3 linked regions of the Oryzias latipes genome follow. The protein of the gene in region 1 interacts with the protein of each later gene in a pairwise test. Links are inferred from orthologs where the notes say so. Each region holds a gene or a part of one and is shown in the gene's direction. Other genes may lie near its edges. The genes, in order: bnip2, frk and myo5b.

Region 1 (3,652 bases):
CCCAGAAAATCAAGTATGTTTACAGCTTGACGGACCTTGCTGAACTTGTCCCGATGGAGTATGTGTCAATACCAGATTGTATCAAACAGTAAGTAGCATGTTTTTCCAAAAAATGACAGGCTTTTAGTACGTTAAAGTCAAGACAGCAGGAAAATGTAGGTGTAGACTAATTCATTTAAGAGACGATTCATTTTTTTATGCAATTAATTAATTAATTGTGACCTGTAATTATTAATCACAATTATTCTTTACTCAATAATTGCTTTAAAAAGCCACACACTGGGAGCAATGTAAGAGACATTTTCAGGTGTGTTCAAATAAAAAACATCCATCCAAGTAAACAGTTACAACAGAGAACATGGCAATTGTTTAAGATTTGAAATTAGATAAACATGATTTTTTTTTTTTTTAAGACGCGCTAATTTGACTGTAATCAATTGCAAATTGCACGATAATGTGACATCCCTACTTTAAACAAATTTCTATTGTTGATTCAAAGCAAAACTTCAGCAGAAGTAAAAAAAAATGTTTCATTGGCTCTGCTCTTTTTGGGCCCATGTTTATTTCCAAAACATTTCTTTTGAGTTTTAATTGGCAGTGAGAGTCCAGGTGTGATCCTTCAAACTCCTTGAATAGACAGTTCGGACTTCATCCGCCGGTTGTGACCATATCTACTAGATACAGTCCACTGAGTTGCAGTCTTCTGTGCGAGTTACTCTTGGGGAACTATAACTAATGTAGCCTAAATCATTTTAAATGAAAGGGACAGTTATCACGTCTCAGGGGGCCGGGATGAAATTAAATCCTCAGATGAGAGGTGCATGCTTTGACCTAAAACAGAACCATTACCATAAAAAAGAGAATTAAAAGCAAAGTTCCTTTATCATTCTGACTCAGATGATCTTAAGACAATAAGGCACAGACAAAATGTACCGTAATAAAAACAGTCCTGCGTAAAGCTCCGTACACAGGGCGTGTGATCCACCTTCAGTAATGTGCTCTCTCAGCCTGTCATTGTGGCCCCGTGACAGACTGGCGACCTGTCCAGGATGTCCCCTGCCTTGGCCCGCAAGTGGCTGAGATAGGCTCCAGCAGCTCTGTGACACCGAAAGGGACAAAACGGATTAAAAGATGAATGAATGAGCCTGAAACCCTCATCTGCACCTTTACACAGACTTAACATCTAAAGTGGTCACTTGAATGCGTGTTGTGTATGCAGCTGAACAGTTTTTGCCCTTCAGAACATTTTCCATCAATGTTTTTAAAGGCAGTACACCACCTCAACCTAACACATTTAGGAAGAAGTGTCTGCTCTGTTGAATTTGCTGTTAGTTGTCATGTTTCATGTGCTTAACCCAGTCTCCCTGCCCCCTCCTAAAGGTTTGATGCTGAAAAAAATAGGAAAAACCCAAAAAGGTATTGGCACTTTCTTCAAGGGTTGGTCACTGCATCCTTTTTATTTTTTATGGAACTAACAATTAGAGAATCTGGTAGCTTTCAGAGATGCACTAAGGCACCCGCTCTTCATAGATTTAGGATTTATTGAGTTTGTTTTGCATTCTCTCCAGTTCAACAGACATTTTTTTTCCAGGAAAACAAATTGTTGTTGTCTAGTCCAATTCTGCAATATTCCCATAAAAAATCTTTCTACTTCAAAAAAGCATTTGGTGTAAAACCCACTTATGAAGCTTTTAGTACAATCTTTCTCAGTGATGTTGATCATTTGGTGGAATCTGGATTGTAGGCAATGAAACAGGCCTAGCGTGGCTAGCATTTGTTAGGTCCGTCAAGTCTGTTTAACTGAACAGATTAAGACGGAAAGGAAGGAAGTATCTCATCTGAGTCACTGTGGTGTGCGTGTTTGCACTGCTGCACATTCACCTTCATCTTCTCTTACAGTAATGTCCATTAACCATCCCTCACTGAACACCACCCAACCTGTTTACTCCCCTGTGCATGACTTGCTCCACTGCTTTTCCCTGCCGATGTTTGATGATTGTTAGAGGTCTTTAGCTGGGTGGGCACATCGATAATAAATATCAGGTACATTAAACTTGTCACTTTTGGGATCTTCACTGTGTGTGTTATCAGCGTATTAAGGCATGAATTCGCTCAACTTTCTGGCATTTGACAACAAAAGTGCATGAGTTTTTAGTACACTTTCTGTGTGCAGACGCGACATGTGACAGACGGTAAACTAGCAGGAACAAATATTCATTTAGTGTCTTCAGCAGAACTGTATTGATATTCCTGCTCTTCAGACCCATCATGAGGTTGTTGTAAAGTTCTTATCAGACACCCATCTCAACCTTTAAAGGTGTGGATCAGTTTAGGAGTCAAGGTTCATTGAAAGTGGGGTAACCCAATACACCTAACGATACACCACCAATACACCCCCTGACGACTGTAAATGAGAAGTGTCCTGATTACTGGATCTGTTTTGCAGAATCGACCAGGAAATGCACAGCAAAGTAGGGATTGCTGCCTCTGCTGCTCCGAAGTGACTCTGCAAGACGTGCAAAAAACGTTGGGAACTGCAGTCGCATCCATGTTTTTCTTCAGAATGATCTGTAAACGCATCTTGCATCATGAAAGTGGCTTTTTGAAGATTTCCTGCCTGTTACATCATCATGTCTTTTTTTTTGGGCTGTATGTTTGTATCAAGCCGTTTAATGCTCTGTTTTTTGGAATGTTTTTAATCCTTTTATTTACCCCCGTCTGTTATGTCACCTTTGGGTTATTGGTGTTCATTCGTTTCTGTTGTATCTTCACCGCTAAAGTCACTCTGTTACAAGTGGTTAATGCATGTTCTGCTTTATTACATTTAAATATATATATTTATATTCAAATGGTGTCAAAGGAGAGAGATTAATATATTTGTATGGTCTGCTTTTTAAATGGAATTTTAGGTCTCTGAGTCGTAGAGTTTCATAGAAAGCCTTTTGAATGGACCTTTTTTGCCAGTGCCTACTGCTGACGATCTCAAATCGTGCCTGGAGAAAATAACCTTTTTTTTTTTTTGGGGCCACATTTTAGTCAAAACGTCGTTATGCCACTTTTCTCATCAATGGTCACAAGTATGTTGCGTATGGAACTGGACATAAAAGCAGAAATCTTCAAACCAAACCAGCATGTCATGCACATTCCTGGCCAACAAAAGGAGTCCGACAACAAATTACAGGACTTCCTGATTGTAACCGTGTTCTTGAATGCGCCCTCTAGTGGTGGATGGGTATTTGTGAGCACAATCTCGTCATTATTTTTACCAAAGTAAAGACAATAAGTCACATCTCTGTTTTGAATTTTTATTTCGTTTACTGAAAATTTAAGATACAAAAAGAATTTTAATGAAAATGTATTGAAAAGCTGTATCCACCAAATGAATGTGCGTAATCACATTTAATGCCTGATATTTTAAAAGGTCAAAATGCCTTCATTTTAAGCACAATAGGAGGAAAACAAAAGTATATAACTCAAAACTACAAATATGTGGTTTTTAAATGTTACATTGCCATTCATAAACATCTCAACATTTTTAGCATTACCAAAACAGAAATATTATAGTTTATACATTTCAAGACTTTTGTTTTTTATTGCATCAGGGTGGAGTGAGAAAACAGCTGCTCCAAAGATCACAGCCAAGATAAAAACA
Region 2 (3,652 bases), on another chromosome or scaffold:
ACGGGCGGTAGCTGAAATGTGATAGAGGTGAACTGATGACCAGAAGTTTGAAGAGTTTCTTAAAATTATCATTTTATTTAGTAAAGATGAAAGTTTTTTTTATCTCAAGAACACATCTTTGATCTGAAAATGATATAAAAAAATGGATTCTCTGACATTCAGATGTTATGTGTTCCTGATTATCTTGCAGGTGGTACTTTCCAGAAACTAAGAGGCTGGATGCTGAGAAGATGCTGCTGGCTGAAGGGAACTCTCACGGTGCTTTCCTCATCAGAGACTGTGAGAGTCAGAAGGGAGAGCTGTCCCTCTCAGGTCAGTCGAGGAAATTCATTTATAGAAATCGCTAATTGGTCCTGCAGGTCAGTTTTCCGTTAAAGGAAAAGATAAGACTTAAAATTCATTTCTGCAGCAGAGCTGTAAATCACAGCACGCCATTTTATCTTTTCAGGAAGCTGGAGTGCAGGTCAGGCAGTGTAATGACGGGCAGTTTAGGACTAAACAACCACATAAAAACAGAGCAATAACTTTATCTCAGTCCTATGATCTGATTTTGCTGTGTGGCCTGGTTCTTTCCACATGCAGAATTCCTTCCGAGCATGCTCATTCTTTAGACCGGTTCCTGATCCGTTTCCGCTCACACCCACTGTCGTCAGGATGAGTCACACATTTGAATGTGACTCATGGAAATCAGCTTTTATTTCAACGAGCCATCCAAAAATACCCCACAAAGACTCAAGACTCTATTTTTGTCCTCCTGACTGTAATCTTTGTTGGTTCTTGGTTCTGCTCCAGGCTGTAAGAACGTGCAGACATTTCCTCACACCTTCCGGAGTTTCAGACTCGTACTCAAGTGTTTGCTCTTCACAGAGCAATAAACGACCTGCAGACTCAGGAGTTGTTCACCTTTTGGCTTATCCTGCTAGGAGCATTTTGAAAATGGACACGGCTGATCAGTCAGGATTTGTCAACACTTCAGTTCAAGTTCAGTGAGCTGTTGAAGCAGAATTAACCAGAAAAAACCCCCCAGTTTTTTTCATTTCAGTCTTGGAGAACAGCCTTCAATGTATTAAAGTGCATTTAACCACAGTCTGAATGGAAATGTATTTATTAGTTTTACTTTAGCGCTTGTTATTTTACTTTTCCCTAAACTAAGCTTATAAAGGCTGACTGAGAAAATAATGCTTTATGTTTTATTGTCTCATGAATAAGGCTTTACAGGTGGGGGTTTTCTCTGACTTGGAGTTTGAGTTCAATGTACTTTTAAGCCTCTTTTGCTTTAAAACAGATCATAAACTTTATCCTATGATCCAAGTGGAGTTTGGTTCTGAAGCTTTTTTCTTTTTTTCAGACAAACTGAGCAGTGCAGGTGATTCTGGCTGCACTGATTCATGCTTTAAGAATTCCCAAATCTAAAAAAGTTTAAGTCTGTCATTTTATTTACTTTAATCCTTGACTTTATTTCTTTTTTCTAGTATTGGACAGTGGAAAGGTGAAGCATTACAAGCTAAGGAAAGCCCCCAACGGTGACTTCTTTGTGTCTAAGAACAGATCCTTTGCAAATTTGAAAGAGTTGGTGGAATTTTACTCCAAACAGGCTGACGGTCTGTGCGTACGTCTTGGCCAACCGTGCAAAAAGGTGAGGTTTATTGTACTTTCATTACCCAGACCTGAAACAGTCCAGTTCACCCACACTGGCTCCTGTCTGTGCAGTTGGAGGCCCCGCAGACCTTCGGTCTGTCCTACAACACAGCGGACATCTGGGAGATCGATCGCAGCTCCATCAAAATGGAGAATAAACTGGGAGCCGGCCAGTTTGGAGAAGTGTATGAGGGCCTGTGGAACAACACCACACCTGTAGCTGTGAAGACCCTCAAACCCGGTACACAAGCATGATCTCCTTTGTGCATCGACAGTGAAACATAATTAGTTTTTCCGAGCAGGACTGAGCAGAAGATGAGATCCTTTTAGTCGTTTAAGCATTTAAAGCCATAAAGAAGGAGGCTGAAAAGGAAGAACAGCTTTTTTCGAGAAAGCAGGAAGTTGAAATCCACCTGAACTTTGTTCAGTTTTCATGAAGTTTGGTCGGGTGTTATCACACGACGGCAATAAGGAACTTTTGCTCTTATCACTTTAATGTACAACGGTTTAATTGCACAAACTGTTTATGGTTTTTATTTAGAAATCAAGCAAATTCTTCAGAATAATAAAGTTGCCAAGAAAACAGATGAATTAAATGCAGCAGTTAGGAAACAATGAGATCAGACCAGAGGTCTGGGTGAAAACTTCAACAGGAGGGATGAGTTTGGATGAACTTTTCAGAGGGAGCATTCTGATCAGAAGCTGTCTGAGAATGGTTTTGTAAAGCAAGAACTTGTAGTTTTAGCGATGAAGACTTGGATGAGTGTCGTTAGATTCTGTCTGAACATGAAATCCTGAGGAAGCGGAGCATCTATTCACCCTTAAATACCACTTCAGATCCATGACCTGTGTTAAAGAAACTCTGTTCCACCCCTCAGGCTCCATGGATCCGAAGGACTTCCTGATGGAGGCTCAGATCATGAAGAAGCTGCGGCATCCCAAGCTAATCCAGCTGTACGCCGTCTGCACATTGCAGGAGCCCATCTACATCATCACTGAGCTGATGAAGCATGGCAGCCTGTTGGACTACCTGCAGAGTAAGACTACCTTCCTTTAAGCTGCTTCTGCTCCGTTGGAGGATCAGGCTCCAGAGCCGCGCTTCAGATCACAGCTGGCATCATGGGATGCTGCACAGACTAGGAATAAAACAGACTGGCTAAAAATGAGGAAGAGTTTAGGTCTCATTTTAAATAATACAGGTGTGCTGACTGGTGATGCTATCTGGCAAGATTTACAGTAGCTGTATTGATTTACATAAAAAGTAGTCTTTGTACCAAAAGGTCTAGAATTTCTAAAAGCAAACGTGGGGTAAAAGATTTTACCCAGAAATCTTGTTTTAAGAATGAAAATGAAGTATCTGCAGAGCCATTTTGATCCTCAAAACTGGGTCAGATGCAAACTAATCAGATTTTTTAGCCTTTCATTCCATCAATCCATTTTTTTCTCTTTTTATTTGTGTAGTGAAAACATAGTCAACCATGAAAAATAGAACATAAAGAAGTTTACAAACCCATATTTTCTTTTTAACATCACAACCTAACATATACAGGCAGCAGGTTAAAAGAAATAATAATTAAAATAAAATAAAAAAATTAAAAAAACAAAAAAACAAAAACAAATCACCAATCAACCTTCATCACCAGCAGCAAAAGGCTAGTACAGGTTTTTTTTTTTTTTCACATTTCACCAGAACAGAGTTCAATCCAAAGAAAGATTAGTCTTATCCAGAACTGGTTGCCAGACTTTTTTAAACTCGTCAATGTTGTCACGAAGCGCATGTGTTAATCTTTCCAGAGGAAGAATCTTCAAAACCTCTGTTTAAACCAATCCTCTATGGTCGGAAAATCCAGATTTTCAGAATGGTTTTTCTTGATCAATCCGTTTTTAAAAATATGTTTAATTCCTTTTGGGGCCACGGGGTTGTTGGAGCCTATCCCAGCCACTGTCGGGCCACAGCGAGCCATGCAACTACACAACCACAGACATGTTCAGAGACTATTTAGATCATGTAAAA
Region 3 (3,652 bases), on another chromosome or scaffold:
AAGCTCTTCAGGCTCTGAACTCATCGCCTGCAGCCTGAACGGAAACAAAAAAGAGTTTCCATCGTAGGTTCGCCTCTGATCCGACCAAAGCTTCCAGCTGATCTGCTGGTGGTTTTGGGACGGGAGAGAAGGTTTAGTCTCTGGCAGAGGTCACCTCGGTTACTGCGGTCTTCCTGGTCCCCCCATGAGTCTGGAGCAAACCCTCGTCTTCTTTCAGTTTCAGATGGTGGCCGATCTGTTTCTGGACAAGGATGATGCCCCGCCCTCTTCCAAGCCCTCCAGGGTGAACGTCAGAGCTCTGAAGTCGACTCCAAAAGCTCCCAACAAGGAGCACAGGAAGTCGGTGGGGCTCCAGGTGAGCTGGCAGGTCTCCCCAGATCCTGGACCGTCTGGAGTTTGGACTGATCTGTGTCTGGGTTTCAGTTCCGCTCGTCTCTGCACCTCCTCATGGACACGCTGAACGCCACCACGCCCCACTACGTCCGCTGCATCAAACCCAATGACCTTAAGGAGGCCTTCTCGTGAGTTTTTCTGCTAGATTTAGACTGGTTTGTTGGTTCTGGAAGGTTCTATCAGGGCTGGAAGGCAGGATCTCCTGGAGAACAGAGATGACAGAACCTCAGACGGTCCGAACCCAAGCCCACCACCATAATCTGGTTGTTTGCTTGGGTTTGACATCTGCTGCCTCTCATTGGACGGACTCCTGTGGATGTGTTTGGGGGTGGGGCTGAGGTCACATGATCACAGCATAAAGGGGCGGGACTGCCGTCCCTGGAAAGCAGCAAAAATATGGGATGATGGTTTGACACTTTTCAATGATGTTTTGGCCAAATGACCATCTTCAAACAAGACCCAAAAAGCAACCCTCATTCACATTAGAAACATGGTCTCACACACACACACACACACACACACAGAGGCCTGTGCACACACAAACCCAGGTGTTACAAACATACTTGTTGGCTCCAAAAACCTTCACATACAATCATGTCAACATGTAAACAACACAACTACACTTCACACACACACGCGTGTGTATAGCGTTTCATTCTGTCACATGATCACATGTTCAGGTGGGTGTTTATCTTCTGCTGGGGTGGATGCCCCCCCCCCCCCCCCCCCAACACCCTAACAAATGCTCGTAGGGTTTCTGTCCCTTCATGTGAGTCCAGAGGTTCATGACTTCCTGATGACATCATCACATTTCTGCCAATCAGCTGCACCCTCGTGACCTCTGAGTTTGGTCACAACCGCGGAGCTGCTGTGTGAGGAATGTGCTGTTCTAGATAATCTAATCGGGTCACGCGGTGTTAGGCATCCGCAGCAGACAGTCGGGCCGTTGCCCGTCCGTCCCGATGTCCAGCAGAACCATGAGGTGAGCGGCTGGGTTTGCTCGGGACCGAAAGCACCTACATCTTTCAAATGTTTGTGTCAACACAGGTTTGATTCCCGGCGAGCTGTGCAGCAGCTCCGGGCTTGTGGAGTTCTGGAGACGATCCGGATCAGCGCTGCTGGGTATCCGTCGCGGTAAGTTCAGCACAACTTTTCCTGCATCTGTTCTGTCAGTCACCTGTTGTAGTCATGTGACTCTGCATGTAAGCGTGTGCACGTGTGTTCAGGTGGACGTACCTGGAGTTCTTCAGCCGGTACCGGGTTCTGATGAAGAGATCCGACATGACTGCTGCAGATAAGAAGCTGGTCTGTAAGAATCTGCTGGAGACGCTGATTAAGGTGAGAAGAAAGCGGGCGTGTGCGGCGGCACGACAGCCGGGCAGATCTGCATCCACGTTCCTCTGTGTCGGCAGGAACCAGACATGTTCCAGTTTGGGAAGACGAAGATCTTCTTCCGGGCCGGCCAGGTGGCTTACCTGGAGAAGCTGCGGGCCGACAAATTCCGCTCCGCCTGCATCGCCATCCAGAAGACGGTCCGGGGGTGGCTGCAGAGGATCCGGTACCGCAAGATTCGCAGATCTGCCGTGGCGCTGCAAAGATACGGGAGGGGGTACCTGGCCCGCAGGTGAGTCCCCCTCAGACGAGGGACGGTCCAAGGCTCTGGTCCTTGAGCAGCAGAACCCTTAACCTTCTCCTGTTCTGTTCACCTGAACTCCAGAACCGTTCAGGTCCTTCAAGGAAGAGGTTTATGGATTTGTCCGGTTCTCCTTCAGGTACGCAGAGTTCTTGCGCCATAGCCGGGCCGCCCTGTTCTGCCAGAAACAGTACCGCATGGTGAGAGAGAGGCGGGCCTACCTGAGGAAGAGGAGGGCCGTTGTCACCATCCAGGCGTTCACCCGAGGAACGCTGACCCGCAGGATCTACTGGGAGGTATGGACCCAGGTTCTGTTCGGTCTGGTATCCAGAAGGATGAGAGCAGGGTTCTTCAGGGTTCTTCAGGGTTCCTCATGCAGAACTGCAGGATTAAGGTCCCCTGCAGGTCGGATGTTCTGTCTGCTTCTCCTCCCAGGAGGTTTCATGAACCCAGAGCGGATCTAGTCCGACCCAGATCCTGTTGTTGCTCCTCTCAGAGAGGCTTTGAGGAGCAGGAACCTCCTCAGATGCAGGAGGAGCAGTTCAGACGTCTGCTCCCACAGGAACACACACACACACAGGAACACACACATATTCACACACACACACAGGAACACACTCACACACACACAGCTCTGGGTTGCTGCTGGACCTCACGTGCACGTTTCTTCTGCAGTTCCTGCTGCACCACAAGGCCATGATCATCCAGAAGCACGTGCGCGGCTGGCTACAGAGAAGGAGGTTCAGACGTGCGCGCGCCGCCGCCGTGGTCATTCAGTGTGCGTTCAGGTGCATGCAGGCCAAACGGCTACTGAAGCAGCGGAAGATCGAGGCGCGCTCCGCCGAGCACCTGAAGAAGCTGAACACCGGCATGGAGATGAAGATTGTGCAGCTGCAGAGGAAGATGGACGATCAGGTGACCGTGCACGCACACACACACACACACACACACACACACATGCACGCAGGTCCAAGCTACAACCCTGAATGTGTGTGTGCGTTAGACCAAAGAGCTGAAGGTCCAGAACGAGCAGCTGGTGACGGTAAACGTCACTCTGGGCTCCGAAGTCTCCAAGCTGCAGAAGGAGCTGCAGGAGGTCCGGAGCCACCGGAGCGACGGAGGCCGGGAGCTGCAGGAGGAGCTGGAGAGGCTGCGGCAGCAGCTGCAGGAGGCCATCGCCGCCAGGAAGAAGCTGGAGGAGGAGCACGCCAGCGAGAAGACGGAACTGTCACAGGTGAAGGAACGGCCCGGTGAATCTGCAGAGCGGGTCAGGAGGACGGAGAGCCTGACCGGAGAACCGTCTCCTTTTGCTCCTCAGAGGGTGGAGGAGCTGGAGGAGGAGAACACTCTGCTAAAAAGCCAGAAGGAGGAGCTCAACCAGCAGATCCAGCAGCAGAGTAGGAACAGCAAAGGTGAGGAACCTTCTCCAGCGGCTGGAGGTCAGAGCAAAGAGCAGAAACGGATCCAAGGTTCTCGTGTTCTGAGAGTGGGAAGCGTGTTGCGTGTTACAGTGGAGGCCAGCAGTGCGTCTCTGCTGGCGGAGCTGGATGAGGAGCGACGGCGGTACCAGAACCTCCTGAAGGAGTTCTCCAGGCTGGAGCAGCGGTACGACAACCTGAAGGAGGA

What was found.
Region 2: the proteins of bnip2 (region 1) and frk interact in binary tests that used the Homo sapiens proteins (3 or more experiments, as listed by UniProt). The two-hybrid records come from large-scale screens. The link is inferred for Oryzias latipes from reciprocal best matches to the Homo sapiens genes BNIP2 and FRK.
Region 3: the proteins of bnip2 (region 1) and myo5b interact in binary tests that used the Homo sapiens proteins (3 or more experiments, as listed by UniProt). The two-hybrid records come from large-scale screens. The link is inferred for Oryzias latipes from reciprocal best matches to the Homo sapiens genes BNIP2 and MYO5B.

What each region holds. Positions count from the first base shown.
Region 1 is NC_019864.2:17,091,633-17,095,284, reverse strand, and holds the end of bnip2 (BCL2/adenovirus E1B 19 kDa protein-interacting protein 2), read left to right. Parts: coding exon 1-88; coding exon of another isoform or gene 89-92; intron 93-1,380; coding exon 1,381-1,416; intron 1,417-1,899; exon of another isoform or gene 1,900-2,043; intron 2,044-2,446; coding exon 2,447-2,504; 3' UTR 2,505-3,289; downstream 3,290-3,652.
Region 2 is NC_019882.2:21,458,164-21,461,815, forward strand, and holds part of frk (tyrosine-protein kinase FRK), read left to right. Parts: intron 1-190; coding exon 191-312; intron 313-1,472; coding exon 1,473-1,636; intron 1,637-1,710; coding exon 1,711-1,879; intron 1,880-2,516; coding exon 2,517-2,675; intron 2,676-3,652. UniProt on the Homo sapiens protein: Non-receptor tyrosine-protein kinase that negatively regulates cell proliferation.
Region 3 is NC_019870.2:377,138-380,789, reverse strand, and holds part of myo5b (unconventional myosin-Vb), read left to right. Parts: intron 1-217; coding exon 218-355; intron 356-423; coding exon 424-521; intron 522-1,440; coding exon 1,441-1,527; intron 1,528-1,619; coding exon 1,620-1,731; intron 1,732-1,805; coding exon 1,806-2,017; intron 2,018-2,165; coding exon 2,166-2,322; intron 2,323-2,701; coding exon 2,702-2,941; intron 2,942-3,029; coding exon 3,030-3,260; intron 3,261-3,344; coding exon 3,345-3,438; intron 3,439-3,537; coding exon 3,538-3,652. UniProt on the Homo sapiens protein: May be involved in vesicular trafficking via its association with the CART complex. The CART complex is necessary for efficient transferrin receptor recycling but not for EGFR degradation.